Linked DNA regions of Stegostoma tigrinum. The protein of the gene in region 1 binds, or shares a complex with, the protein of each later gene. Links are inferred from orthologs where the notes say so. Each region holds a gene or a part of one and is shown on either strand. Other genes may lie near its edges. The genes, in order: oprk1 and pdyn.

Evidence for each region.
Region 2: the proteins of oprk1 (region 1) and pdyn are in contact, whole or in part, in a cryo-EM structure (PDB 8F7W), measured with the Homo sapiens proteins. The link is inferred for Stegostoma tigrinum from reciprocal best matches to the Homo sapiens genes OPRK1 and PDYN. Residues at the interface, in NP_000903.2 of Homo sapiens: Thr111, Gln115, Trp124, Val134, Ile135, Asp138, Tyr139, Met142, Lys200, Glu209, Cys210, Asp216, Tyr219, Lys227, Val230, Phe293, Ile294, Glu297, His304, Ala308, Leu309, Tyr312, Tyr313, Ile316, Tyr320; in NP_001177821.1 of Homo sapiens: Tyr207, Gly208, Gly209, Phe210, Leu211, Arg212, Arg213, Ile214.

What each region holds. Positions count from the first base shown.
Region 1 is NC_081358.1:67,906,422-67,922,450, forward strand, and holds the start of oprk1 (kappa-type opioid receptor), read left to right. Parts: upstream 1-8,751; 5' UTR 8,752-8,901; intron 8,902-9,060; 5' UTR 9,061-9,068; coding exon 9,069-9,328; intron 9,329-16,029. UniProt on the Homo sapiens protein: G-protein coupled opioid receptor that functions as a receptor for endogenous alpha-neoendorphins and dynorphins, but has low affinity for beta-endorphins.
Region 2 is NC_081372.1:35,922,712-35,938,343, forward strand, and holds pdyn (proenkephalin-B), read right to left. Parts: upstream 7,310-15,632; 5' UTR 7,130-7,309; exon of another isoform or gene 7,119-7,129; intron 5,989-7,118; 5' UTR 5,980-5,988; coding exon 5,860-5,979; intron 3,837-5,859; coding exon 3,177-3,836; 3' UTR 2,983-3,176; downstream 1-2,982.

The DNA.
Region 1 (16,029 bases):
GATTGCTTGTCTCCTGGTTTTTTCCCATGGTACTCACAATTCTTTATCCGTGTCTTTATCAATAGGGACATTGAATACTCTGTTCTGATGAAGGGTCCTGATCCTGACCGTCAACTTTCCTGTTCCTCTAATGCTGTGTTCCTCCACCTCCACACTGTGTTGAATACTTCCCTATTGGCCCTTGAGTTTTGTTACATAGCTTCCTGAAATGTTTTACTGAAGTCTCAAACATAATTTTCAGAAAGCCACATGGTTTGGTTTTAACATTCTATGTCTAGGCACCTCCACCACTCTCAGCTCTTCCCATCATTGATGCCAGATTCATCTGCTTTAGTGTCTCAGATATAGCTTATGGCCATTTAACAAACTGCAACTCGGCATGATGCTGGAGTTCCATATGATTTTTCTGTAATGAAATCTGTAGTAATCTGGTAAAAAGGTAAACCTGACATGACAACTATGCCACTTAGCTGTTGACTTCAACTCGATCATTCAGATTGTGTTGTCGTGGAAATTGATCAATAAGTGCTGGTAGCTTGTCGTTAAATTACTGCCACCAACCCCTCCATTTTCTATTTATTCTTTTTAATAGAACAATTGGCCAAATGAATCAAATTAAACTTGGCTGTGTCTAAGAAACACTAACAAAAATCAAAGGATAAATGAAACTTTTCAAATTTATTTTAAAGTATCACTTTGGAAGTTTGACAATGAACCTTAACACCACCCCCCAAAAAAATCACCAGCCCAATGAGGCCAATAGTATACCAGCAGACATCAAGTGCTCCTTGTCTGAAGATACTTGAGCATGGATGTAAACACAGAGGACAGCCAGCACTCAGGTGCCAAAATCTCCTCTACAGCTTGCTGTCTGGGTCTGTTAATAGCCAACTTGACTAAACCTGCAGTAGACCAATAAGAAGGCCCTCTGTTTTGCCTGCTTTTCTGCACTAGATACTGAAGATCAGGAATGTGGGGCTGAAGTACAACAAAACCTTTGGGTAGTCCCTTTGAGTAACAGAAAGAGGCTACAGCCTTATATGATTTATATCTCTGTGGTCCTCAACATCCTAAAGGCCACAAATATTATAACATTAGTCCTGGAAAATGTGTTGGTGAGCCTTTTCCTTAGCCACTGCTGCCCATGTGGTGTATCGGCACCCACATTTCTGTTAGGGAAGGAGTGTCCAGAGTTTTGATGTCGTGACAATGAGGAAGCAGCCATAAAGTTCCAAGTCCAAATGGTGTGTGTGTTGGAGAGGAAGTTACAGGCAATGATGTTTCCATGCGTCTGTTTCTCTTGATCATCTAGGCTGTAGATGTTGTGGGTTTGCAATGTTTTCTTAGGGGTGCTATAATGAATTTCTGCACTGCATTTCAAACATACTGCTGCCTCTGTGAGCTGCTTGTGAAAAGAGGCAATGTTAAAAGTAATGGAAGGGGTGCCAATCAAGTAGACTGTTTCTTTCCTTAATTTTGACAAGTTTTGTGAATGTTGCTAGAGTTGTACTCGTCCAGGTAAGTAAACAGTATTTCATCACACACCTAACTTGTGCCATATAGTTGGTGGATAGGCCTAACTGCTAACCTGCTCTTGTCACCACAGTTTGTGTATGTTGGACCAGTTCAGTTTCTGGCCAACAATAACGTGTACAGTGCTGATAATAAGGGATTCAGTGACGGCGATGCCATAGAATGTCAAGAGGTGATGGTTAGACTCTCTCTTTTTGATGAGTCATTATCTGACACTTGTGTGTGGTGAATGTTACCTGCCATTCATCACATCAAGTCTGGATATTGTCTGGGAGTGTAAGAACATTAATTGCTTCAGTATCTGAAGAATCATGAATGATGCTAAATGTTATGCAGTCATCAGCAAACATCTCAACCTCTAACCTAAGACTGGCATGAAGGTCATTGATGACACAGATGAAGATAGTTAAGGCTAGGAAATTACCCTGAGTTGATGGCATTGTAATTTCTGTGACACAGTAAATATGCAGGTCCATGTTACATTAATGGTGAATGGTGAAGAAGATAATGTACTGAATGATGTATTTTCACTTGGTTCATGTTTCTGTGAGCAGCTAAATAGTTAATACTGGACTTTGGACATAGCCCATAATGATCCTGTCGCGTATAAGTTGAAAGCAGTGATGACCTTTCCACACACTGACATTATATTGACCGTGATTAATGTAATTTCTAGGTCTGGAATGAACATGAGGTAATTCTTGTATTATTTTAAGGTGAAGTGCAGCTTCAGGAAACCATTCATACAAAAACTAAACACCGAAAGTCTTAACTCTTTATTCCTCATCACAAAACATGAGCTCTGTTGTGGTTTTCCAAAACTGTTTCAGGAAATTATTGTTCAAGAAGTGACAGAAATGCTGGTGATACACGATAAACCTTTTATCATCTGAATTTCTGCTTGTTACTTTCTTGATAACAACGATAAAAGAGCACACCTAATGAAGAGGCATCTGTTCAATAATGGGGAAGAAACAAGAAATTAGAGACAAGTTGAAGCACTTACAAAAGTTCAAAATTGTTGTCAACACAACATTTATTCTAAATAAAAGCCAAAAGAACTACATATGCTGTAAATCAGAAACAAAAACAGAAATTGCTGGAAAAGCTCAGCACGTTTGGCAGCATCAGTGGAGATGAATCAGAGTTTAATGTTTTGGGTCAAGTGACCCTTCCTCAGAACTTTTCCAGCAATTTCTGTTTTTTGTTTCTGATTTACAGCATATGTAGTTCTTTTGGGTTTTATTTAGAATAAATGTTGTCTTGACAACAATTTTGAACTTTTGTAAGTCACTTTTGTAAATGCTTCGCCTTGTCTCTAATTTCTTGTTTCTTCCCCATTATTGAACAGAAGTTGGTCGAAAGGGATTGTTCCATGATACTACAAATTGCTACATGTTTGCCTTAGATTAAATATTATAAATAAAAACAGAAATTGCTGGAAAAGTTCTGAGGAAGGGTCACTTGACCCAAAACATTAAACTCTGATTTATCTCCACTGATGCTGCCAAACCTGCTGAGATTTTCCAGCAATTTCTGTTTTTATTTTTAATATTTAATCTAAGGCAAACATGTAACAATTTGTAGTATCATTGAACAATTCCTTTCAACCAACTTCTACCCATTAGCAGTACTGAATGCCTCTTATTAACCAACATTCCTCACCAAGGGTAGTCCAGAAGTGCACATATCAGGGCATACGTCCCGATGGAATGGCATGGTGGATCAACAGCTTTTGCTGCTGCCTCATGGTGCCAGAGACCTGGGTTTGATTCCACCCTTGGGAAACTGTCTTTGTGGAGTTTGCATATTTCCACCCCCACCCCCTTGTCTTTGTGGACTTCCTCTAGGTTCTATGCTTTCTTCTCACAGTACAAAGATTTGCAGGTTAGGTGATTAACCATGCTAAATTTCCCATAGTACCAGGGATATGCTGGATAGTTTAGCCATGGGAAGGGTGGGTCTGGGTGGGATGCTCTTCAGAGAGTCAGTGTGGACTTGATGGGCAGAATGGCTTGCCTCCACACCAAAGATTCTATGTACTGAGTTTGTTCAACAATTTCTGTTTTTGTTTCAGACATCCGGCATCCACAGTACTTTATTTCATATTATTATGATGTCAGGACATCTGATAATTAATAAAAATCAACATTTAAGTATAATGTTATATGAGGGCCAATTTTTGGGTGAACATTTCCAACTATTGCTCTCACTGTAAGCAGAATATTTTTAATTCTGTTATTAGGATAAAAATGTAGTATTATGTATGACTTCTAAACCAAAGTTCTAACTTTGAAATTGTCTGGAATTATAAACTGTAATAGATGGAATTGTATCTGTGAAACTGCAAGCAGATGAGTGCTTTGCTAAGGAGAAAATCAAAAGTTGCACCTTCAGAGTCATAATTGATAGCTGCATATTACATAAGGAGAAATGTACCAGGGTCATTGCAAAAGAGGTCGACTGATTTAAATATCCTGAAGTTTCATTATTTTGATGGCATTGGTCTGTGAGTGATGAGCCATTCCAGTTATGGAGATTGTAATTTGAAGGCGCACATACAATACCAGACAGAGGCGCAACATGCTGCCCACCTTGGGTAGTATCAGCCAATTGAATACCAGTCAGCTAGATTACTATGTGAGGCCAATATTGCATTTTAGGAAGTTTACAGCGTCAGACTTTCAGTTGTTTGTCACATCTTGAATTTGTGCCTTCTTGAAATATGGATGTACTTGGCAGGGAAAAAAAGGTTTTTAAAGTTGTCCACAAATCTGGATTGCACCATTAATAAAGGTTTATCAGCTAAAATTTCACAGCTTACATTTTTTAAAAGGTTTATTCATGGAACTTGGCCATTGTTGAATAATTTATTGCTCTTTGTCTTTGTATTGGCTTATTTAAAATCTAATTTATAGCTGCTATTAAATTTGATTTGACTGTTAACTCATGTTTAACTTATCTTGAGTTTGGTTTGATTGTTGAAGTAAGAGTTATAAAAAGTTACATTATGTACATTGGTTTCCTCCATTGGCTTGTTTGGTAAGTTTAGTTCTTATAGCTTATACTTCTCCACAGGGATCAGAACATTATATTCAGCCATATATTTAAATCCTCACAGTAGTACTTTACACACAGGTGTAGTGAGAGATATGGCATCTTTTCATCACCTTGCCAGTCGCCTAGTAAAATCTAGTGGGAGCATTATGCCTGTTCTTGCTGGTCCAAAGCTATTATGAATAAATCCACAGAAATATCACCAGAATTAGACAATGTACATTTCTATTTGAATCAAAGTTCTTTTAAATTGTCTTAGGTTCCTCAAAGTTTAATGTTTAAGTTGCAGCCCCAGCTCATGAAAAAATGGTCAAGTCATTTATGATGCCATAAGGACAAATGCATAGAATTTTCTCTAAGGTACGCTTAACACGCTAGGCATGAATTTGCTCAGCTTTTTCCCTCATGTCCTTGCCTGAGATCATCTTGCTTCAGAGATCACTTTCACTTATTTGGTGCTATTCTTAATAAAGTATTGATCATTTAACATCCTCCTCTAGAAAAGTTAGCTGATATTTATTAATGGTTCATTCTCATTATGTCCTGTTATGTCCTCCTTAGAATTTGCTACTCTCCCCATTTTCCCAAAAATGCAATACTTAATTCCTCTGCCACATCATTCCAACCTTGTTTTTCCCTCTAAAATTATTGAATATGTTATTGCTTCTCGTATCTGTGTTCAATTTTCCTAGAACTGCGTTTGAATCACTTCGATCAGATTTCTGCCCCACCACAGTATAAAAGTGATGCTTTCCATAGTCATGGGTATCACCCTACATGACTGTGCCAATAGCACGCTATCCTTGCTCACCCTCCTTGACCTGGCTATGAGTTTTTAGAAGGTTGACCTCACAATCCTTCTACATTTCACCACTATTATTCAAAATGGTGAGCCAACTCTTATCTGACTGCATTATATATCTCACTGTATCCTGCATGGCTTGCTTACTCCTCCTGAATTTAACTTCAAGTGTCCCAAAAAATCTATCCACAGTCTTTCATCATCTACATATTTCACCTCAACAACCAAACTAGGATTTCAATTTTAACATGGATTCTGACAGTTTCCAGTTGTGGAACACCAATAACTCTTTCAAAATTATCACACTGCTTGTCTGACCTCTAGTTGCTGGATCGGCAAAACTTTCCTTGACCTAACTATTGAGAAGATCAAAACCATTTTCTTCAGACTCTTCTGCAAAATACGTTCAACAGTCATCAACTCTATTTTTCTTCTGGTCAACTATTTAAGGCAGAACCAGGCTGTTTGCAAAATTGAGAGTGTATTTGGTACTGAGATGATCTGACTCCATTTCCATCACGGGTATATCCTTTCCCCCTTCCCAAATATCATCTGATACAGCCTTGTCTTCATTTAACTACTGCTAGAATTCTCTGAACTTGACTATTGCAATGCGCTTATGGCCAGCTCTACCCTTCTTAAACTCGAGTACTCGAGTTACTGTAAAACTGTGCTGCCCATGTCTTTACTCACATTGAATCCCTTTCCTCAATTGTCCTTTGGTAATGTGTATTATCTCTCAGTTAAGCAACACCTTGATTTTAAAATTTTTATTTTGTTTCCCATTCTTCCCTGGCTCTTACAATGCCAACTTGTCCAACTCCAATACTTCTGACACATGTGTTTCCCCAACTGTGACCTCAAGTTAGCATTCTCAACGTTAATCACTTCATAATTGGCAGGTCTGCCTTCATTTTATAAAGTCTGCAACCCTGCAATTCATCTCTTAGGCTTCAATGCATATTTTTTTCTTTCTCCTCATTTAAGATATAGCTTAAAGCCTTCAAATTTGATTTAGGTTTTGCCATGTGTTCCAATGTCATTTAATGTGATTCAATGCTAAACTTAATTTTATCATGCTCCTGGAGAGTGTCTTAGAACATTTTGTTACATTGAAGGCACTAGATGAATAAAAGTTGTTGTTGCTTTTTAATTCACATTCAATAATTATCTACTAGGTAATCTGGTGATTACTAAAATGTAAGGTGCATTTGCAGTCAGCATCAGTGACCTTTCATGCAGTACTCTAAATGGCCTCTTGAGAGATGTTCTTCATTTAATTAATGTAACGTCATGCACACATAAGACATAGGAGTGCAAGTAAGGCCATTCAGCCCATCGAGTCCACTCCTATAGTGCAACTCATATGGTGCATTGGATATATTCAACGAACGGTTTTCTTTGGAGAAGAAAATTGGAGGGGAAAATATAGCAACATCTTTAAGCATGGGAACTAAAATAGCAAAATAAAATTGATTACCGCATTTTGCATGCAATGTTTTTTTTCTGATCACTCAAACTGCAAACTTGGAAAAGGTGATTTTTCATATTTGGCAATAAATTTTATGAAGTAACACATTGTTATGTATACACACAGACAGGATTCTACACTTCCTTGGAAAAAATACCAAAGTACTGAATGCTAAACAAATGTGCTGATTGAAGGAAATGCAAAAATTTTCATGGAGAAATTAATTTTTTAAGTGTAAAAATTAAATAGTTTTCTGAGTGCTTGCTAGATTATCGTAGGTCACATGATAATAGTTTTGAAAAGATGTCAGGCTAGTATAGGTACAGTAAATGTGGATGGGATCCAACAAAAGGTAGCAGGTTGAATTTGAAATTGACATGATGACCGGAAGCAAATATTGTTGCTGATGAGGGATTTTGCAATATGCACTTTGTTTGCAGTGCATTAGAAGCATAGTGTATGTTTGGTGAGAATAAAATCTCTCAGCTAAAGAATGATATTAAAGAGCCTGTTCAGAAAAGTGACAAATAAAATTCAGTCTGGAAAAATATTAGATTCTATCTAATATAGGTGGCATATTGGCTCAGTGGTTAGCACTGCTGTGTCACAGCACCAAAGGTTGGGTTTCAATTCCACCCTCAGGAGACTGCGTGGAGTTTGTACATTTTCCCCATGTCTGTGTGGGTTTTCTCTGGGTACTCCAGTTTCCTCCGACTGTCCAAAGATGTGCAGGTTAGATGGATTGACCATGCTAAATTTCCCATATTGTCCAGGAAAGTGCAGGCTAAGGTGGGTTAGCCATGGGAAATGCAGGGTTACAGGCTAGAGGGGTTGGTCTGGGCTGGATACTTTTTGGAGGGTTGGTGTGGATCCAGTGGGCTAAGTGGCCTGCTTCCACACTGTAGGGTTTCTATACTTGGGAAAGGCAAATAAGGTAAGAGGATGTAGAATAATTGGTAGTATATTGACAAATTTAGACATGGCTACTGATGCTTGAAGCTAGAGGACTAGAGGACAGACAACTGTTATAGTTAAGTAAACTTACAAACCATTTTCCAACTTTGCTTTAGATGCTGAATGAAGGGATCGAGAGGTTATATGAAAGCTTCAATTTCAGCCACAGTCAAAGCCCTACACACAGTTCTGGACACCACCTTATTGAAAATAAATAATAACATAAGATAACGTGCAAAAGAATATCGCTAAGACTTACATTATTTAACTTTGAGGAAAGATGGAATAGACTGGGCTTGTCTTTGCTGGAACAGAGACAGTTGAAAGGTGATTTAATTGATTAATAAAATGGTGAGTATGGAGACAGGATAGAAAAAGCTTTTACCGCTCTTCAGAGGGTTCGATAATCAGGGACATTATTTATAGCCAAAATAACTGCGGATCCTGTAAATCAGGAACAAAAAAAAGTTGCTGGAAAAGCTCAACAGGTCTGACGGCATCTGTGAATGAGAAAACAGTTAACGTTTCGGGTCAGGTGATCCTCCCAGAGCATTTGGTAGAAGGTTTAAATGAAGGTTGAAGAGGTATTTTCGGTTCAGACGACAGTGAGGGTCTCAAACTCAATCGCTGGACAGATGGAAGCACGAATCACATTTTAAAATTATTTGATATGCATTGAAATCTACCAAGATGTTGAAAAACTGGAAAATATGATTAGGTTGGACAGCGAGATTTGAGTAAAACGGCTGTAAATGCTTCTAGTCCTGTTAGCATAGCTTCCATCGTATAATGTAACATTGCCACGGTGAACTCTGAAAAGAGGTGTTGGTTTTTATACGTACTGAATGCTCCCGCCTCCATCGAGCTGCGTTTGGTCTGAGCGTCATCAAGTGGATGCTACGTTAGAAGTGTAGCGCTGCAGCAGCGACTCCAACGTTTGTACGCTGGCAGATCCAGCTGCAAGGGGTTCCGGCTGTTCACACCTCACCTTGCATACAAGGAAAAGTTCACGTCGGTGATCTTTGCTCTGCACTTATCGACTGTTACACAGAAGTTTTCAATCTCATCTGTTCGATAAACCTGGGTAAGAATTGCTTCATGTCCCTAATAATGCCTCTGTACCTGGTCCTACTTGTTCAATATTTTAAGATTTTCTTCAAGCACTTGTTTTAGTCTTTATTATACATATATAGATTATGTTGTATTTTTATGTTAAAAATTTTCTGTTTTATTCTTTTTATAGATGAGACTATGGGCACTTCAGTGGTAATTACTAGAGAAGGCATGGGTTCCAAATGTATGTTGCACTTCTCTGATGAATGTACCCCTGGCATTATCCCAAACAGCACTTTCCCAACCACTTCATATTATTTGGAAAACAGCACGGATTTTTTTGACTTTCACACGAACACAGTGAACACCCTTATCCCCATCAGTATTACCGCTGTCTACTCGCTCATTTTTGTGGTGGGTACGGTGGGCAACTGCCTAGTTATGTATGGGATCGTAAGGTAAGAAAATTCATTTCATTTGTCCCTTCAATCTGGCATGTTCACCATTCCCGAGAACGATCGTGAAGTCAAACTTTCGGGATAAGACCAATAGAATGAAGAAAGCATGAGTGCGAGAAAAAAAAATCTGGCGACTGCGACCAGTGTTGAAATAAAATAATTTGATGGAAAATTCTTAATGCAAAATACGGACAATTGGACCTTTTTGTGAAGTGGTGTGAATGGTTAATAACAGTTTGTAGATTAATAGTTGTTACAGCACCGAACAGCCGGAATATTCAGGGTCAACGTAATTTGTACAGTTCTTTTATTACTTGTTACTTATCAGACAAAGATTATTGGGATTTATTCAGCCAGGTCCCCTCTATTACTCTCTAGTTAATGGCTAATTTAAAATAACATGTTTCTAACACAATTAGACAAACACAAGTGCATTAGCAGTGGTAATGAAATCCTGAACTCTTTTAGACAACGGTTTGATTTATAATTATAACGCCCCCAAATGGGAGCAATAGGCACTGACTTTGGATTGACAGATTAATCTAAAGCATTCTCTCAAGAACAATAAATACGTTTTCGACGGAACTGGGAAAATACCTTAGTTGGGGGCTAATGTTGGAATATGGTAATTTTTTTACACAGAGAAATGTCAAGTATATTAACAAACATAAAATACAGCGCACTGCAGGAAAATACTGGAAACACTGAGCACGACATATGGTTTCTGAAGAAAGGTCATCGGTCCAAAATGTTAATCTGACCTCCGTTTTGACGCCAGTGCTGCCTAATTCGTTAAATGTTTCTGTATTTTTTGTTTGAATTTCAGATGTAATAATTTGTGTTTCAAGTTGGTACGTGAGCCAAATCTGTTTTAATGTTCTGAACACATAGAAGCACAAACATGCTGATGCAGTTTTCAAAAAAAATTGTCAATGGTGCATGTAAATTTGTTTCCTCACAATAAATACCGACTTCTCCATTAAGTGGAAGGCATAGTCGTCAGTTCCTGGTGTGTGCAGTAACCCGTTTTCTTAACAATTTAGCTAACACTGAAATACTGTTGAAATTAACCATCTATGAACTTTGGTGCAAAATAATAATTTGGTGATGGGTGTAGGGTGGGCATTGTCAACTGCTACCCATGCTATACTTAGCTGGAAAACAAGATTTCAGCAGTCAAAAATTGAGAGGATTAATACTGCCGTCACCCTAGAGACATCTGTCCAAGGGCTCCCTACTGCAATTTTTAAATATAACCATAAAAGGTAATACTGCACATAAAAATAACAAAGGACTGTGGATGCTGGAAATCATGAACAAAAACAGAAGTTGCTGGAGAAACTCAACAGGTCTGACAGCAGATGTGGAGAGGAAGTGGAGTTAATATTTTGAGTCCAGTAACCAATCTTCAGAGGTGATAGTAGCTGGCAAAAGATGGCATATATAATATATATGTGTGTGTGTGTATACACAACACACAAACTGGGTAACTGCTTTGTAGAATACCTGCATTCTGTCTTAGAAATGACCCCGAACTTTCAGTTGCCTGCTACTTCATCACAACATCATGCTCCCTAGCCAACAATTCTATCTTGAGCCTACTGCAAAGCTCCAGTGATTCTTAGCACAGACTGGAAAAACAGCATCTCATTTTCCACTTGAGGAACCTACAGTCTTCAGGACTTATTATTGAGTTCAATAATTTTAAAACTTGAACGCCTTTACTCATCTATAGATCTAAGCCCAATCATGACATGAGCTGCTTTCAGCACAGTCAGCATATTTTCATCTACTTACGATGCCCATTATCAGTTTTTCTTTGCCCTGGCGCAATATCAATCCCTATATCTACCTAAATGTAATTCCTTCTCAGCTCCATCTCCATCTCTGCCTATCCCCTCATTCCTTTCTTCTTTCTTCACACCACTGCGCCATCTCTAACCCCCTCTCATCCCCTGTTTTCAGCATATATATCATCTTTTCCTAGATACAATCAGTTCTGAAAATGGGTCACTTAAATATTAACTCTGCTTTCTCTTCACAGAAACTATCAGACCTGCTGATTTTCTCCCCAATTTCTGTTTTTGTTGCAATGTTACACCTTGCTGTTTGAGGTGAGAATATACTTAAATATGAAATTTAACTTTCTATTTTGTGAGTTTCTGGCTCACAACCAGCTTTTCAAAGATAACTAAGGATGCACACTAAATTTTGGTAAAGCACACATCCTGTGAATTAATAAACAACAAATTGTTTGTGTTCTTCCCATTTGCACAGACAGAATTACTGGGGCTCTGCATAAAATACTATAGTTCTCTGCTGATGAATGCTCACTGTCTCTCCTTGTGTCACAAGAATCCTGAGATAGGAGTGCCCCTGCTTGAGCCACCAGGCTCAGTTCAAAAAGTTGTTTATGTCTTAATCTTCCACAACTATCAAACTATAGTGTAGTTGCGTTTAGCACCTGCAGCCGTATCATTACATTCAAATAATGTCTGAACCCCAAAATATTTTTGTCTATATTTCCACGTGCAGACAGGCTGTCCACAATTTCGATGTCAGCTCAAAAATTACCCGCCTAAGAATATCTGCCAGGATATCAATCCAAATTGGATTTTACACGGTTTATTAAATTAAATGATTCACCCACAGCATACTATACTATATGCTATATGTCTTTAAGGCTGATACTGTTCTTTTATTCATGTTAGGGGATGTGGGCATTTTTAGCAAGATCAGCATTATTTTCCAAATCTGATTGCTTTCAGAAGTTCAGATAACAAGGTGTACAGCTGCATGAACACAGCAGGCCAAGCAGCATCAGAGGAGCAGGAAGGCTGACGTTTTGGGCCAAGACCCTTCTTCAGAAATGGGGGAGGGGAAGGGAGTTCTGAAATAAATAGGGAGAGATGGGCAGGTGGATAGAAGATGGATAGAGGAGAAGATAGGTGGAGAGGAGTGCAGACAGGTCAAAGAGGCAGGGATGGAGCCAGTAAAGGTGAGTGTAGGTGGGGAGTTAGGGAGGAGATAGCTCAGTACAGGGAGGACGGACAGGTCAAAGGGGCGGGAAGAGTTTAGTAGATAGGAGATGGGGGTGGGGCTTGAGGTGGGAAGAGGGAATAGGTGGGAGGAAGTGCTGCTTGATGCGAAAGTCTTCTTGGGGCCTGGGATGGGGGTGAGGAGGGAGGTGCAGAGGCAGGTGTAACACTTCCTGCAGTTGCAGGGAAATGTGCTGGGTGTTGTGGGGCTGGAGGGAAGTGTGGAGCGGACAAGGGAGCCCCAGAGAGAGTGGTCCTTCAGGAAAGCAGATAAGGGTGTGGAGGGAAATGCGCAGGTGTTCACCTGCACATCTACTAATATGGTGTACTGTATCCGCTGTTCCCGTTGTGGGCTCCTCTACATTGGGGAAACCAAGTGGAGACTTGGGGACTGCTTTGCAGAACATTTACACTCAATTAGCACTAAACAACTGCTCGTCCCAGTCGCAAACCATTTCAACTCCCCCTCCCATTCCTCAGATGACATGTCCATCCTGGGCCTCCTGCAGTGCCACAACGATGCCACCCGAAGTTTGCAGGAACAGCATCTCATATTCTGCTTGGGAACCCTGCAGCCCAATGGTATCAATGTGTACTTCACAAGCTTCAAAACTCCCCTCCCCCGACTGCACCCCAAAACCAGCCCAACTTGTCCCCCCCTCCCTAACTTGATCTTCCTCCTACTTACCACCTCCTCCCACCTCAAGCCCCACCCCCATCTCCTATCTACTAACCTCATCCCGTCCCCTTGACCTGTCCGTCCTCCCTGTACTGAGCTATCTCCTCCCTAACTCCCCACCTCCACTCACCTTTACAGGCTCCATCCCCGCCTCTTTGACCTGTCTGACTCCTCTCCACCTATCTTCTCCTTTATCCATCTTGTATCCGCCTCCTCCCTCTCCCTGTTTATTGCAGAACCCCCTTCCCCTCCCCCATTTCCGAAGAAGGAAACATCAGCCTTCCTGCTCCTCTGATGCTGCTTGGCCTGCTGTGCTCATCCAGCTCTACATCTTGTTATCTCAAATTGTCCAGCATCTGCAGTTCTTACTATCTCTGCTTTCAGAAGTTGTTGATGGTGAGGCTCCTTCTTGAATTTGTTGAGTAACTTACTAGATAATTTCAGAGGACAGTTAAGAGTCAATCATATTGATGCAGACCCAGAGTTACGTATAGTCCAGAACAGATCACAACAGGAGATTTTCTTCCCTGCAGGACCATGATGAACTGGATGAGATTTTACAACAATCTAGAAGTGAGGAAAGATTTTTATTCCCGACTTAGTTACCAAATTGAATTTAAACTTCCCAGGTGGCTTAATGGCAGTTAAACTTACCAGATAACAAAATCATCAGTTCATGTCTCTGGAAATGTTTGGTAGAGTAACATAAACACTGTTGCATACAAGAAGAAAGCATATGATCTACACACCTAAATGCCCACTGCATAAACCGTATTTTGCTTTTGATACTCAATTGACCCAGATGGTATATTGCAAGGATGGTTATAACATTGAGTATTATGTCAACTGAATGGAGCATGCTGTTATAGCTTAGAAATTTAAACTTTGAATTTGTGTTTTATTCTTTAAAAAACGATTTTGGTTTTACATTGTCATAATTACATGCAAACACATAGTGGGCAAACCTCAACAAACCCCGAAAAGAACGCGAGACATGCTGTGTGATTAACCTATCACAGTTATCACATGTACTGGGGAACTGCACGATACCCAAGTGTGTGCGTGCGCACGCGCGCCACCACTCAGAAAAAGCTTACGTTACCTAAAACCAGCTGGCAACTCTCAATGTGGAAGTGCTTTTAAACTGGAGCAGCTGCTGAAACCTTTTCTGGAAGTGAGTTTGAACTCTCTGAATTCAGTAAAGTGAATTTCAGTGCAACAATGGAGAACATTCCATGATTCTCAGACACTGTACTGGAGACCTTTAAGGAGGGGATGGAGAGGGAGAGAAATGGTCTGTTGCAATTATATTATCATCTGTGGTGCTGCTATACCACATTGCTGTTGTCATACCCTTCTTGCACTACACCACCTCCACACTGCCATGGATCTCTATGCTACATAGTACCAACCTGGTGCATTTTGAACTGGGCCTGTAGATCTGAACTGCTTGGAGCTCTCCTGCAGTACTACCTGCAGTCTCCATTAATTAAACTATTTTATTATTCAGATTGCAGTAGCTAAAACAAACTGCACAGAAGAAATAAAGCAGGAAGATGTGCACAGGAGGGCTTGATTAATCAACCTTTGCATGCAATATGGCGATGTGAATGTTAAGTTGTGAGACTATTGATGAATGAACTTGCATGGGTTTTAAATTTCCGAAGTCTCATACATTTGGGGAGGGTTGATTAAGTTGGAAATTAATTAATGTAACTACTTTATTCAATGTAGAAACAGGTAAGGAGAAGGAAACCACAGGCAGATTAGTTTAAGGAACAAAAGCAGAAGTTGCTGGAAAATTTCAGCAGGTCAGGCAGCATCTGTGAAGAAAAAATCTGAGTTAACATTTCGGGTCCAGTGCCCCTTCCTCAGACCTCACAAGACCCGAAAAGTTAACTCTAATTTTTACTTCACAGATGCTGCCAGTCCTGCTGAGCTTCTCCAGTAACTTCTGTTTTTGTCCCTGATTTACAACATCCACAGTTCTTTCAGTTTCTATTCAGATTAGTTTGTTTGGTTATGATAAAAATAATAGAAACTATTATTAAAGATGTTACAACAGGGTAATTTGAAAGGTTTATAGTAATCAGGTTGAACCAGTAATGGTTTTGAGAAATAGAAATTATGTTTGACCAACTTATTGGGTTTCTTTAATGTAAAACATATGCAATGGATAAGGCGGAGCTGGTAAAAGTACTGCACTCAGTTTTCCAGAGAACATTTGATAAGATGCCACATCAAAGGTTATTGCAGAAAATAAGAGCTCTTCATATCAAGGCTAACATTGGCACAGAAAGAAGACATATTAGCCAAGACGAAACAAAGATCAGGCATAAATGGATGTTTGCTCTTTGGTTGGCAAGAAGAAATGAGTGTTGTACCACAAGGATCAGAGTTGGGTTGAACTTTTGCAATTTATGTGAAATACTTTGATGAAGGGACTGAAGGTATCATTGCTAAATTTGTTGATGACACAAGGATAATTAGGAAAGTAAGTGGTGAAGAGGGCTCAAGGAGGTTTCAAAGAAATATAGAATCCTTTAAGTAATTGGGCAAATGAGTATAATGTGGGAAATGTGAACTTCTTCATTTTGGCAGAAAGGATATAAAATAAAAAGAAGCATCCTATCTGAACAGTGAAAGATCACAGAGCTCTGAAATACAGATGGAGCTGAATGTCTTGGTGCATGGATTACAGAAGGTTAATATGCAGGATCAGCAAGTAACTAGGAAAGCCAATAGATTGGAAGCTGAATGTCTGAGGATGAGGACTAGCAGCTAAATGTCCCAGAATTTAAATGTTTCAGGTGTGACAGAAGGGAATGTAAAAGGGGTGGGCGAGTAGTAATGGAGTATCTTACAGGTCCAATGAGGACGAATAAAACAGAGGACTTCTACAACGAGGCAATATGGGTTCAGCTCAGAAACAGAAAGGTTGAAAGTATAATGCTGGGGTATACCACAGGCGTCCCAACAGACGG
Region 2 (15,632 bases), on another chromosome or scaffold:
GGGCCCTTTCATTCCAATTAAATTTCCTGATGGACTTTGGGTTTGTATGGGCATATACTTACTTGAAGATGTTAATTCTTACCTCTTTTTGGTCAATTACACCTTAATATAATTTGAAGTTAAATAACTATCATCAATGATCACTGAAACCATTTGGAGACTGCTGTGTGAGATGTTTTCTGCCCATGGTATCCTAAACATTATTACTTCCAACAAAACCACACAGTTTGCTCACGAAATGTTCAAAACATTTGCAAAGACCTTCCGCTTTCAAGACTTCACACATTTGCTCACATATTCCTAGTCCAACGAAGTGACGGAAGTATGAATAGTTCAGACAGTAAAGAAAAATCCAGACTTACTTACTGCCCAACTTGTTTAATCCTCCCCCACTCTGCTGGAAATGTTGATGGGATGCTGAAAACAACTCAGCTTCCTACACTGTCCAGCAACTTGCTTCCACAGGGCATTAGTAGAATTATTCACACTGCTTCCCAAAGGAGCTGCTAACTCCAGAGTAGGCAGGCACAGAGCTATAATAAACAAGACTGAACTAAGATGTCTAATTTAGAAAATGGTCAACTGCTCTGGATAAAGGATGTCACAGAAAGGGTACAGTTAGACTGCATGAACCTTTCAAATATGGTATAAAGTTACATCTTCAATAAAAATGGTCGTCTCAGCTCATTATTCTGACCTACTCACTTACTTTCCTCACTGGAACCGTCTGCCTCACTGGAACAAAATCAGGCATCGCTGGTGGGTGGTGCGTCATGAATTATTATTGTCTTTTATTTGATCTCTTGGTTCACACTATCCACTCAGGATGTGTGGTCACATCATGAGGTCAACAAAATCATTGATCTAATGGAAACCAACAAAGATCACCATTTTACTTCAAGTGTTTCTACATCTTCCTATAGCTTTTTCCTTATTCATCTATCACCAAAAACGAATCAAGGCATATTTTTAATCAGTTAGGAAGCAAGAAGTATGGGGGGAAAGACAGGAAGTGGAGATGAGGGTTATCAGATCAGCCATGGCAGAATGATGGAGCAAATTCAATGGGCTGAATCGTCTACTTCTGCTCCTACATTTTGTCTTATAAGTTAAAGACTTGAGGCAAGGGTAAGAGAGATAATGACAAACTGTACAGTAATTGCTGTAACAGGGAGTAACTTAAGTAACACAGTTGAGAATATGTAAACATGTTAATTGATGGTTATAATGTTGGAAAAAAATTTGGGGAATTGTGAGGGCTTTAAGACCCTGGTGCAACCTTCAAATGATGTCATGGCATTGCTTCCAATGAGAAAATGTAGCACAGTGGAGGCAGTGCTAAGTTAGAGTGAAGAAAGAACATGTAGAGTATGATCTCTCAACAATTTAACGATAAGCTCTGAACCTGGTATATCTGAGATTACCATATAAAGTTGAGTAGTGTTATATAGAATTAGATTTATTGTCACGTGTGCACTCACATGAGTGCAGTGAAAGATTTACAAAGTCACCACTTACAGTGCCATTTTATGTACAAGGTACCCAGGTATGGAATATTTGAATTTTAGTGTTAGCAGGCAATAAACTGTTCTACAAAACCTGAGCTTGCAAACAATTTTGACTTATCCTTCTCTTTGGCCAGCTTGTCTTGAGCCAAAACTCTCAGGCGTGGTTCTAAAACCATGTGAGATAAAATGTTTTAACGATTCCAATCCTATTATTAATTTGAGGACTCTTTTCAAAATAATAAATGAATAGTAATGTCTGTCATCTCACTAAATTTAAAAAAAAGTCTGGGACATTTTGACAATTCAAAAAGGACTCTTTAAGTACAAACACAACAAAAGATATTACATCAACATAAAGAATCATTTTTTGAGGCCAAGTGACCAAAGTGAATAGTTTTCCTTTGATGCCTTCACGGAGTACCAATGATTGAAAACATAGCTTAGAGTGTAAGTTTTAAGTTTATCATGTGTGCACTTGAGATGTTCACTACCTTCTTAACCATGTTGTTATTTTCCCTGCTCACACATTACACATCTCCTGCAATGATTATCACACTGGATTGAATACCTGATGACATCACATTACTCCTTCAAAGCCCACAAAATGTTTGTGGACAGTTATCAGCATAGTTATTGTGCTGACCTCAAAATTCAAGCTGCAATTTCCTGTCACCAAATTTCTCATCTAGCAATGGTGATCAAGATCAAGGTATCTGATGAGAAGATCTGTATAATCAAATTTGGAAATCTATGCCAGAACAATTTTGGCAAGAATACAAAGGCAGCTCTGATTAAATTAGAATGAGAAACGTTTTAAAACAAGCTGAATCTTCCAGCAAGAAAACTGCCTGCCAAACAACATTTTTGTTCATAAGGGATTTAACCTAAATGTTAGCTGTGAAAGCTTCTTCATACAAATAAATATTCTCATGGTACAATTTTCATTGAAAGAGATAAGCATAAAAGAAAATTACAATGAGTCCTGTGGAACATATCTGTTATTTGCTATGTCTATGATCATAATGTTATATTTCTTGCAGTTTACAATGCTCATGATGTAATATGTGTTCATGTCACTGAGATCATTTCACTTCTTACTTAACATGTAAAATGTATTGCTAAAAAAGAACTTTACAGCCTTTCTAATGTTAATTGCTGCATGAATTTTGCATGACAATATTTCATCAAATCATTTAGAATGGATATTTCTTTGTGTACCAGCAACTTCAATTTGGTGACCATACAGAAGTGTGTCAATTGTCAACTGGGTCTAAGCATGTCAGTGAAATAAACTAGTTGTGCAACATGACGACATTTTTAACGATGATTTATGTCAATTTTTAAACTAAAAAAAAGAAACTAAACATGCCAGCTTTAGTTTGCATGTTAGCCACAGACATTGCTTACTTTATTGTAATCTAAGCATGAAAAAAAACTATTGAGGTTCCATTACAGGAGGCAAACAAAAACAAAGTCTAGAGAACTTTTTTTTATTGGATTCACAAACTATGCCAACAAAGTACAGATTCAACTGCTGTTTAGACAGCCTATTGTAAACTTAATAGCAAAAATATCTGTGCATTCAAAACAATACATTTATAGTTTCAATACTGAATCTATCTTGGCAGAATGCTCTCTCACATCTAGTTGCACATCACTTCGGCTCTTTTAGAAGTCTGAATTCTCTTCAGAATAATCATTTGCATCACCATCATCTGACCTGACTGAAACCCGGAAATGGCGCCTCAGGAAGCCACCATATCTTTTTTGATTATCCCACTTATATCTTGGTCTGCCAATTCTTCTCATAAAACCCCCATATCTCTTTTGAAGCTCCATGTTTTGATTTTCTTCATCACCCAGTTCTGCACTTCTCTTGTAACCAAAGCCTTTCATGAATCCTCCATAACGCTTTAGCTCTTGGATGTTGGGGCTGTCACTACTTTTTTCCAGAAGATTCTCCACTGCAGCTTCAAGTTCCTGAGAATTCTTCTCTAATTCAGTTGCATCCCTTTCGTCAAACTTATGCAGAATTCCTCCATACTTCAGATTTTGTCCATTGTAACCATTTTGTTGGGCTAATTGTTTGGCATAAATTCTGCTCTTGTCAATCTTCTTCATGAAGCCCCCATCATGATTTACAAGACTATTATGCGGTTTTCCAAAATGTGCCTCTGCACTCTCATCTTCCTTTTCATCTGTGCCTAGGTCAAGAAGATCTTCATTGACAATGCCAAAATGGTCAGGCTTGTACGAGTGAAACGCTTTATCACATTTTTCCCACTCATTGGTAGAAAGCACTACCCCTTCACACTCTAAAGTGCAGGTCTGGAAGATAGCAATTAGAAGATAGCACTTTTCACAGCTACATTAACTTTCATAAGAATAGTATTTCAATTGGTATTGGCCAAAAAAGACCTTAATTAATAAAAATTAATTTCAAGCAAATAGCAATTTTATTAGTCAAAAATGGCATAATTTGTATCATAAAGATGTTAGCAATAAAAAGAGCTTTTGCATGTTGCTGTATTTTTCATGTAGAAGTAAATGGACAACAAATTCTATTCTATATGATGTGGTCCAGACAGGAGTGCCCTATTTGTGAATAGTTAAACAAGGATACTTATTTGACCTCAACATGTAATGGACAGCTAATGTGTAAAAAGTAAGTAAAGATAAAGAAATCCAGAAATGATAGAGATAACCTTCTGCTCCAGAGATTGCAGTATTTACTGTTATACTTGGTACTGAAATTACTGTAATGGTATAAACCTCGGGTCATTCCCCAAATATCCCGCACTGAAAAACAGTTGAAAAAAGTTAGAATTTGAGCATGCGAGTTAATTAGACTTTAACAGTAAAAGTTGTGAAAATTATTGGGGAACAATATCAGACCCTGAAAAAAAGCCATTTGCGCGTCGCCGAGGGGAACATCGGCTTTTATCTCGACTGGTGGTATTTGATCTCCGGAATGTTTCCAACAGTATCTACTTGTATTTTAGAACTGCAACATTTTAGGGGTAACATCGTTCTGCAGTTATATCAGAAGAGCTGCTTTACAAATGCACGTTCTTTTCAAAGATTAAACAGGAGCAGGATCATTATGTACATTGTTTTTGAAGGACAGTCCTGTGCTTACACTCTCAGCAGGTAGAGGAGTTTAATTCCAAACACCTCAAACCTGGCAATAAATTTACCAAACGGAGGGCAACCAGAGTAGCGGAATGGCAATAGAGAGCAGATAGAAGGATTGAAAAATCGTTAATCTTGAACTTCTCCGTTATAACCAATCTCCATTCAAACAAGCTTTTCAAGGTGTTAGAAAACACCCCCTGCCGAACATTTGCTGTTGCGTATTTCAGCTAGCGTTAGAATATTATCTACCCATATGTCGAAGAAAACGATAGCTTGCAAGAGTTTAATCTTACTGGCTGCATTTATAGTTTTGCACTTATTTTGTTCTCAAACTGCAGCTAATTAAGCAAGTTTAATCATCAACACTATTCCATCTAGACGCGTTCTGGTTGATAAATTCCCAACTGTTCTGCAATTGCTAGTAGCTGTTAAATGCTCCACAGGACACCGCTATTGTTGCTGCCCATATATCACTTACTGTTTCTAGTCGCCTGGTTCGTTATATTGGGCTACATTCTACTGCGTGTTCTTATTGTGACTCGGAAATCGAACATATTTCCACGCAACAGAAACTACTGGAGAAACTCAGCAGATCCAGAAGCTTCTGTAGAGAGAGAAAGCCGGGTTAAGTTTCGGCACCGGTATGACTCCTCCTCAGAACTCAGTCCTTTCGGAGTCGTTAACTCCGTTTCCCTCTCCACATGGATGCTTTCAGACCTGCTGAGTTTCTCCAGCATTCTGTGTTTATTTCAGATTTCCAGCATCCGCAGTAGACATTTCCACATCCTTGTCACGTATTGCAGCATGTAGCTAACAGTAAATATATCTTCCTGGGGAGGTTGGAACGCTAAGTAATCTGCTTTTTTTGAGCGTTGGTATAGGTATATACAGATTTCATAGCCATTCCGAGCGTGTTGATCTGAATGCTCGTAGAAAACTCGCAAGTTTACTGGACCAACAGTCGCACATAAATGAAAACAGATTTCTTTCAATTAACTAATTCTACTGCGAAAGAATACCTGAGGATAAATATACGGCTATTATTTGTGTCCCTTAATCTGGTTGATGGGAATGAGTGGCACCTCTGAATGTATTCACTACAATGAGACACGGCTCTGTCACCAGCTGATTCATGTAGAAAACTATAGCTCGTGCTGAGCCAAAATTGAGCGTTACTCTGATTTCTGAACTGGATGACCGAGTGCGGTTATCTTACCAATGGTTTGATTGAGCTGTCTAGGACTGAATTGCATGTCGAACACCAGTTGGCACAATCCGCGTGGACCGTGTGCAGTGGACTAAAGGACAACACCAGGACAAACACACTCCACTCCATCACCAGCCTCTGAAACATCAAGCGTAATTGTCCCTAGAACATTGCTTCCAACTCAAACATTGGTTAAAAAGGAACATATTGAGGTTTCAGATCGAAGCTTTTAGACAAGGATTTGGGTGAATTCGAAAACAAAAAACATTACATTGAAGACGCCTCTGCTCATTCAGATCCTGAAGCAGCAACTACAGGTTTTCTACTTTCATCTTCAACTTCCATTAATTGACCTTTGTCAGGATGGTTTCCGACAATGGATTCGGAGAAATACCCAAAGATTCGAAAGTTGTGGACTTAGAAGCGTTACGTTGTTATTTAAGTTTTGCAGCAGTTACTACCGCTTGCAGAATGTTGGAGAAATTGGTTCGGCTAAATAAGTTTCTAAATTTGAACATTCTAAATGTTAAATCAGTATTCCATGGCATTCCATCTCAGCCGTTCTGCACCTTCATTAACATACATTTGAACACTACATAAGCAAAGAACGCATGAGCTGTTCAGAGAAGTACAATTGTATGGCTCCATCCTTTATATTAGGCAAGACCTTCCAAAGGAAGACCCTGAATGTTAATATGATTGTACAGCTTAGTCCAAACACTAATAAAAGTTAAGAACTAAAGTAGATTTGAACAAGTGCGCTACCAACATAATTCAGAGATTATGCGGGGATGGGAAAACTGTGATATCTAATTTAAAAAAACAGTTCTCAGTTACAATTCAAAGAAGAAATGGGTGAATCTCTTGCCAAGAAATGTACTGTAGGAACCTCCGCCAATTAGAAATTCCTTGGCGGAGCAACTAGTTCGGATCTTTGTTGTGCAATTGCAAGGAAGTGAAATTTTGAACAAATTATTGTTACCTAAAATAAATTGTGCACGGGCTTCACTATTCCCTCAAATGAATCAGTCGCGAACCGATCTTTGAGAACACGCTTGGATGGTCTTCACAGATCAGCAGCTGTTTAACACATTAGTGTGTAACTGCGCTATTCACTTCAGGTGGAAACTGAGTAAATAGTCAATCGAGAAAGGTTAGCTATCACCAGCGTGAACTCCAGGGTAGTTTCACTGTACAGAGCTGCCCTTTAACCTGCATCCCTCTAGTTAGAGATTCCTATCAATACCCGATACTTGATGAATACTTACTTTCAAATTACCTGGATATTCCTTGAGAACGAACCAGTCGGAATCGCTGCAATTTTACCGGTGAAAAGTGTGGACTCCCTTTGTGAAGCGCGCCTTACAGAAACCGCTCCCGTCCACACAGCTATCCTCCGCCTCGAGAAGTGAAGCTGAGATCCAGGGTTTTCCAACCTGCAGCCTCCAGCATCCGCTATTTATTTACCCACAACGTTATGCTGACATTGGCGACGCTGAATGCACGTCTTTTTTGAGCCAATGACTGCATCGATTGGATTAATTATGGTCCAGCAATTCCCTCAAATGCTACCAACATATTGCATAGCCGTCACACTCCCGCGCAATGTTATAAAGACAAGTACAATTCGGGGTTTAAAAATAACAGGCAGTAAATTAATTACTCTTGTCTGGTGCTACTTTGATTGTTGACGTTTTCTTTTCGTGAAAATGCGCTTTTTATGCTGGAACCGAGCCTTCGCTGTGAACACTCACTGCGCTTCCCCTCTATAATTATACACTGGGCGAAAGTGTCAACCCGATTACCTCTCATTTCTGGGCGGCATCTAAGCAGCTTTAATTTCTTGCAGTATTCTCCAACTGTAAAGTGAAGCAATTTTAATTCGAATTAAAAATGTACAAATTAAGAGATTTCATTCAAACTGTGCCGGCCTGCTGTATTCATCCAGCTCCACACTTTGTACCTAACTTGCCCTCTGCCTCTGGCAAATAGACAATTAAACCGGCGCCACAATAACACTGGATAACAGTCAGCAACAATACCTTCTAATTCATTTAGATGGGCTCCTGCTAAAGTTTCTACATTACATTATGCATGGACAATAAAAATAAACTAATAGTTTACAAACACATTACTGACTGATCACAGGTAATTAAAGAGATTGCATCTTGTGCCTGTTGAAATAAGCGTTTTGAGTTTCTATATATAAGCACATTTTAGTTAGGTTTAATTTTCTCTTTCAGGGTTAAACTGATTTCATCATTTCTCCTTTAATCTCTCTCACACACTCATGGTGTGGTGCAGCCATACGAACTGTTAGATGTGTATCGATTACATTATTCTCGAATCACACAGCCAATGTGGATGTACAGGGAGAAAGTAAATCCGGAATATTGAGACGAATCACGATACATTGCAGACAATAGGACTTGGCAAAGCCAAGTGTGCTGGAAGCCAGTTAAAACATAAGGGCCACAGCAACGCTCCTGGAAGGGGAGAGCTGCCAGAGATAATGGGAACTGCAGATGCTGGAGAATCCAAGATAACAGTGCGTGGCTGGATGAACACAGCAGGCCCAGCAGCATCTTAGGAACACAAAAGCTGGCGCTTCGGGCTGCTGTGTTCATCCAGCTCCACACTTCAGGGGAGAGCTGCCAACCGGTTTACATTTTTCACCATTTTATTAATTGCTGATGCAAATAAAAGTTCAACGTTGCCAGGCCACTTGAATAAATACAATCACGGAACAATAAAATCAGGAAGGGTCACAGGACCCGAAACGTTAACTCTGATTTTTCATCACAGATGCTGCCAGACCTGCTGAGCTTTTCCGGCAACTTCTGTTTTTGTACCAATAAAATCACGTGCTTGAATTAATTTTGGTCACGGTCACGTAATCCATTCTTTGATCACTAAAGAGAATGAGATAAAATTGACATCGCGTGATTATATGTCCGAGGTGGAAGGGGATTGCAAATTAGTGATATTTCTCAAGGCCATTAACGCTGGTAGTGCTTAAGTACGGCAAGACTGTACTTAACTGTCTTCAGTTTATGTACTGGCATGCTCCAGTTGTAATATGTATTAGTTATGTAAGTTACATTATTTCACCATATTTAAAGAAGTTTCAAGTCTTGTGCTTTGATCAAACCAGATGTTAGTGTACACAGAATGACATCATGCGGATTTGAATCTGAGAAGGTATTTAATCTAGTGAGCCACTTGGTAACATCATACCCTTGCTCATTGCCCATATATTTTAATACTCACCTCTTTCAATCGTCACTTGTTTACTTTTGCATCTTTCATGTAAGAGAAAAGGTAATTAAAAAGTAGAGATAGCACTTGGCTGGCTGCTGTTAAGTGCCGCTGAGGAGCGGACTGGAAGCTGGAGCGATGGGGGACAATTGCTGGACTTGGGCCTAGTGCCGCATGCTGAGTTTCTGTTATCAGACTATAATATTTTTTTAAAAAGATCGCTATGTTGTAACTAAGTAATGCTTTTGCTTTCCTTTAATCCTCTGTGTAAGACCACTTTTTTTTTAACTCTATAAGATTTGTAGCTAGGTACTTGTGCTTAAGGTGCCGCCATTAAAAGGCAGCCATTGTGAACATTTTTCACTGTACTCCTAGACTTCTATATTGTAGTAGAAGTGACAATAAAGAATAAAGGATATTCTACACCTAAAAGTGGGTTCCAAGGCATTGAAGCAGCAAATAGGAGGGGTAAACAATACATGGATCAAAAGGTGGCTTTTAGAAGATTTCTCAAATCAATAAGAAGAATTGAAATTCAGTGTTATTAGAGAAGAAGCTTCCAAAAGTAAGACTAAAGTAGCTGAAAATATGGGTTTCAATCTTAATCAACAATAATATGGTACTTGTGATACAAGAACACATCAAAAGATGTGAGAAACCATAAAGGAATTTGGAGACATGGCTGAAGGTTTAAAATTTATTACTTTGGGGAAGATAATGCTTTATTGTAGGCCAGTGCTAGTGTGATGGGATAGCTGGGTCTAACATGCAAAAAAATGTAATCTATTGTATTTTGAATGGATGTGACTATTTACAAGACTACTTAATTTCCTGACTTGGACTTAAATAATGTAACTGACAGAATACTTCAGTATTAAATTATTTTAAAAGCAACAATGTTATGTATTGTTTTTATTAAATATTTTAGTCATACTTTACAAATTGACTCACACGTGGACACTACAAAACTATATAGCATGAGAAATGGAAATGTCACAAAGGTATAATTCAGTTACTTTGATAACATATTATAAAGTAGATGCAGCAGTGATTTATATATAGACACTTTGTGAGAAAGTTCTAGCCTTGACGGTGAATTGCACTACATAATGCAACAACCTCACTTTGAAACGCACAATGGCCAGGGGAAAAGTCTGCAGATCTGACATACTTTATGTTTCAAGTACGTAGGGGAAAAAAAACAAAGTCCAGGGCCACTGACTTCTGAAAATTGCAATCAACTTAGTGAAAATACAAACTTAAGCTGAAAAGTTGAAAGAATTTCTTCCTTTTCTTACAAAGAAATAAGACTATTAGAAAGTGAAATTTCATGAATCAAGATGAAAGATGTAATCAGTTAGCATTAGCACAGAGTCACTGGTTGGTTCCTGAATAAGATATAAGTGAATGATGAACTTGGACTGGACATGGGAATATTGCGAGAGTGGGCGAGGAGTTATTGTGGAGAAACTACCCAAGACAATAAAGCCTCTTTATTATCAGCTTTGTGGCTGTCAATAATACGCATGCAGTATTAATTTGTTAGTGGTCATGTTGACAGAAGAATGTTGATCAGTCCAGCCCATCCTTTTAAATAAGTTAAGATTATTTTTGTTGCATCTTCACATGTTTTTAATACACTTAAAAACTGGGTAATGTTAATGGTAGAAAGCCATGCCTTCTTTCATCTTTACTATTATCCTACTTTTTTTCAAAAAGTTGGTTTGCAGTACAGAATGATGCCAAACAGTGGGTTCAATTCCTGCACTGGTTGAGGTTACCATGAAGAACTCTCCTTAACCTTTTCCCTTGTCTGAGGTGTGGTGACCCTGAGGTTAAACCATCACCAGTTATACTTATATCTCTCTCTCTCTAATGAGAGAGCAACCCCATAGTCTGGTTAGATTATGGCAACTGTACCATTTTACCTTTGTTATTAGTTTAAATCTTACTTCTGTACTGAAACATGATTTTGTGCAACGTTTAAAGACATTGACCATCGCTGGCGAGGCTGGTATTTGTTGCACATTTCTAATCCTAATTAGTTGCTTGGTAGTCTTAGTGCTATCGTCAGATGTGTAGGTCATACATCCCAAATACTGGTGGACCATATCAAGCAATGCAATCTTTTGACTATCTGCAGAACCAGTGTATTGACTGTTTTCCACCGGTCAATGTTTATAAAACTGAGAATATAGTTTCCAACATTATATGTGATTCTCCTATTGGACAGCATGTACAAAATAATCCTGACCACACAAAATATGACATTATATTATAAGATTATCAGCTGGGATCATAATGTGATTTGTTTGTACGTACGATAAGATGCATTTATTCTCAAACAGGGCTCTGTTCTTTGTAGGCAAAAAGAATTATATAGCATATTGCACCTTTTTGCTGCATAATGGGAAATGGATTCAACCCTTGCTGTATCTGCATGGCAAAATCCTGACCAATCACAGTTGACTTGCCTGGTTTAAATTTAATCAGTTAACACTGACAGTTAACAGTTGTCCTGCACCCCGTGCTTACTTTCTAAGTGGCTTTCTTATGTTTTAGATCTGATTAATGCAAAATGAAAAGTTTCAATGCCTCTTTTTCGTGATGCTTAAGTTCAGTACTTTACCTGTGTCCTGTTTTGCATTCTGTACATGAGAAAGAATGTGAAGGTGCTGGAGATAGTGTAGTGTAGAAGAGGTTTATGAGAATTATTCCAGAGATAAATAATTTCAATATAAACACAGATTGTAGAAGATGGGACTGTTCCTGTTGGAGAAGAGGAAGTTTAAAGGACAATGGTTGAATTATTCAAAATCACAAGTGATTCAAACAGAAAGAAACAGAGGGAAAATGTTCCCACTCATGAAATGATCCAGAATGGGAGGGCACAAATTTAAAATAATAAATAAAATAAAGAAAACTGATACAAGGGAAAATGTTTTAACGTAACAAGTGGATAGTATCTGGATAGCATTGCCTGATAGTGTGGTGGAGGTAGGCTCCTACCTTGACTCCTCAAGATCTTCTTAATCAATGAGATTGTGAGTATTTCCCTTTGGCAACTTCCTGTACATAGAATTCCCTCTATTACTGTCTGTCTATGAGATGCATAGATACTCGCTAAATGTTGCTAACTGAGTTTTAAGTAGAGGTCAATTGAAACCTGATTGTTGTCCCTGGCACAACAAGGTATAGAGCTGGATGAACACAGCAGGCCAAGCAGCATCAGAGGAGCATGAAAGCTAACATTTCGGGCCTCGACCCTTCTTCAGAAAATGTTGACCCTGGTCTGTCTTTCTGCACGTCATAAAAATTCAACTTTGCAAACACTCCATAAATTAGCTAGCCATATAGCTTAGATCAAGTGTTCTTGGAAAAGCTGTTTGAGCTCACTGTTCCGAATGACTTTCTGACTTTTGTTAAAAGAGCTAAGAAACCTTCATAGAACTGGAAAATAAAATCAATGTTGCCTCCCTTTCAAAGCTAAGTTCCCAAATAATAACAATATTCTACTAATCAAAATATTCTACTAAGCAAAATTGAAGCCTGTGTTTATTCATTCATATACACATTGTGATTCCTGTAGTTCTAAGTGATACAAAGTCAACATCACTGGCACTCTCATGAGTTGGGCCATCAACTTGCTGTGTAGGATTGGTATTGAAACAGGATGGATCCAAACAATCCTCTGGATAATTGATACCCTCATCATGATATCACTCACTACATATTGCAGAAACTCACATAAGTGTCTACAACCATCACTTTTCACTCTAAGTGATGCCCTACTATGTAGATAACCTTACAAGAAGAAGTTATCTCAAAAATTTCAGCAACAAACTAAAGTTACCATGTTATTCTGCTACTTATCACAAAACACAACAGTGGTGTTCTCCACGAACAGATTGCTGCCACCAAGCAAAAAGACATTCAACCAACCACACAGATGAGTAATGTGGTTTATGACTTTCAGTGTTGTTGTGATTCCAGGTACGTAGGTTGTACATCTTGATTACTGGCATACCATATCTAACAACATGCCCTTGTGACTGTCCATGGCAGGAAGTATGCCAATGTGCTCAACCAGCCCATGCTTGAAAATCTCAGAACTCAAACTCAAAACTTCCTTCTCAACAGCACTGTGGGTGGACTTACCCTCTGTGGAGTGATTCAAGAGGGCAACTCGGTATCACCTTCTCATGCACAATGAAGGATGACGAATAAGAAATAAGTCAGCTATGCCAACTTTCCATGATTGAATAAAAAAATGTTCAGCTCACAGTTAACTAGAAACTACATTTGTCCATGCATAGGGCCCTTTTCTTCATGGGCAAAAATAAGTCTGCACATTGCAGCTCTGTCATTGAGGAAAGGGCCATAAAGACAATCAGTTCCCGCTGCCATCCTGTGACAGTGCTCTAATCAATCAGTGTTGACTGGTTTGAATTTAATCAGCTAATTAAGACAGTTAACAGTTTTTGCTGCATCTCCATGCCAACAACAATCCAACCAGTCAGCACCCTTGCTTGGAAGGTGCTGTCAAAGCAGACCTGGTGAGTTGCTGTAGTATATCTTGTCAGTAGTCCAAATTGCTGTAACTGCATCAGTGGTGAAAGGAGTGATTGTTTCAGCTGGTAGACCTCTGCTTTGTCCTGGTGATGTTGAGCTTCTTGAGTGTTGTTGGAGCTGCAGTTATCCAGGCAGGCAAATGGGAAGTAATCCATCACATTCCTGACTTGTTCCTTGTAGACGGTGGACAAGATGTGGATAATGAGAAGGTAAGTTACTCAAGTCACAACTCCTAGCTTCTAACCACAGTATTTGTATTGCTTGTCCAGTTGAGTTTCTGGTCAATGGTGCCCCATTGGTAATGTTCCTGTTAGCGAATTATGCAATAATCATGCCATTGAACAGCAAGTGGAGATTGTTACATTCCCTGTTGTTGGAAATGATGATTGCACAACACATGTCTGATGTGAATTCTTGTTGCTACTTTTCAGCCCAAGCCTGAACGTGGTCCATTTCCTATTGCAGGTGTCCGAGGAATGACAGGACTTGTACTGTTAATGGTAGGGCCCTGGAGAGTGTTGCTAAGCTAAGAGACCTAAGGGTGTATGTACATAGTTCCTTGAAAGTGGAGTCACATATGGTGGGGGTGGTGAAGAAGGCATTTGGAATGCTTAGTCATAAGATTGAGTATAGGAGTTGGGATATCATGTTGTGACTGTATGGGATATTGGTGAGGCCACTTTTGGAATATTGTATACAATTCTGGTCACCCTTCTATAGAAAGGATGTTGTTAAACTTGAGAGAGGACAGAAAAGATTTACAAAGATGTTGCCAGAACTGGACGGTTTGAGTGATAGGAAGAGGTTGAATAGACTGAGGTGTCACATGATAGAGGTTTATAAAATCATGAGAGGCCAAAGAATAGCCAAAATCTTTTTCCTAGGGGGAGAGGTTTAAAAAGAATCTGAGGGACAACATTTTCATTAGAGAGTGGTGCATGCACAGAATGAGCTGCCAGAGGAAGTAGTGATTTTTGTTCTGTATGTCTCAATCACTCCGTGACCCTATCACTGGCAAATGGTGCTGAACATTGTACAATAGCAGCAAAGATTGCACTCTTCTGAACTTATGATGGAAGGCAGGTCAATGATGATTTGGTGAAAGATGCTAGGGCCTAGACAGTACCCTGACAAGCTCCTGCAGTGATGTCCTGGAGCTGAAGTGATTCACCTTCAACAACCAAAAGTATCTTCCTTGTGCTAGGCATGATTCCTATTGACTTCAATTTGCTTTGGGCTTTTTGATGCAAGGCTCAGTCACAAGATGCCTTGGTATCAAATACAATCTTTTACCTTTCCACTTGAATTCAACTTTTTTGGCCACATTTGGCCGAAAGCTGGAATGAGTTCTGGGTTAGTGTTAGCGGCTCTGGTGGAATCTGACTTCAGCTTTTTGAGTAGATAAAGCTGAGTAAGTGCCACTGGCAATGACACCTTTCATCATTACACTTATGATTGAGGGTGCACGGATGGAATGGTAATTGGCTGGATTGAATTTATCCTGCTTTTTATTGACAGGAGATAGCTAAATAAATGTTTAAAGCTTGAGTTGAATGCCAGTGTTGTAACAGTACTGGAACAGCTTGGCCAGGGGATATGGCTATTTCTGCAGCACACGTCTTCAATGCCATTGCTGGGAAGTTGCTAAAGCCCATGGTCTTTGCAGTATCCAATGTCACCATCTGTTTCTTGATTTCATGTGTAGTGAACCCAATTGTCTAAGGACTGACATCGGTGATGCCGGGATTCTCAACAGGAGGCTGAGGTGGATCATCAATTTGGCATTCTGGCTGAAGGTGGTTACAAAAGTTTTGGATTTGCCTTTTTCACTGATGTTCTATGGTTCATTGCGGGGATGCTTAAGGAACTTCTTGGTATTTTCCAGGTGAATGAAAGATATTTGCCACCTTTAACAGTATGTGGTACTGGGTAAGGGTGATTTAAGATAGTTT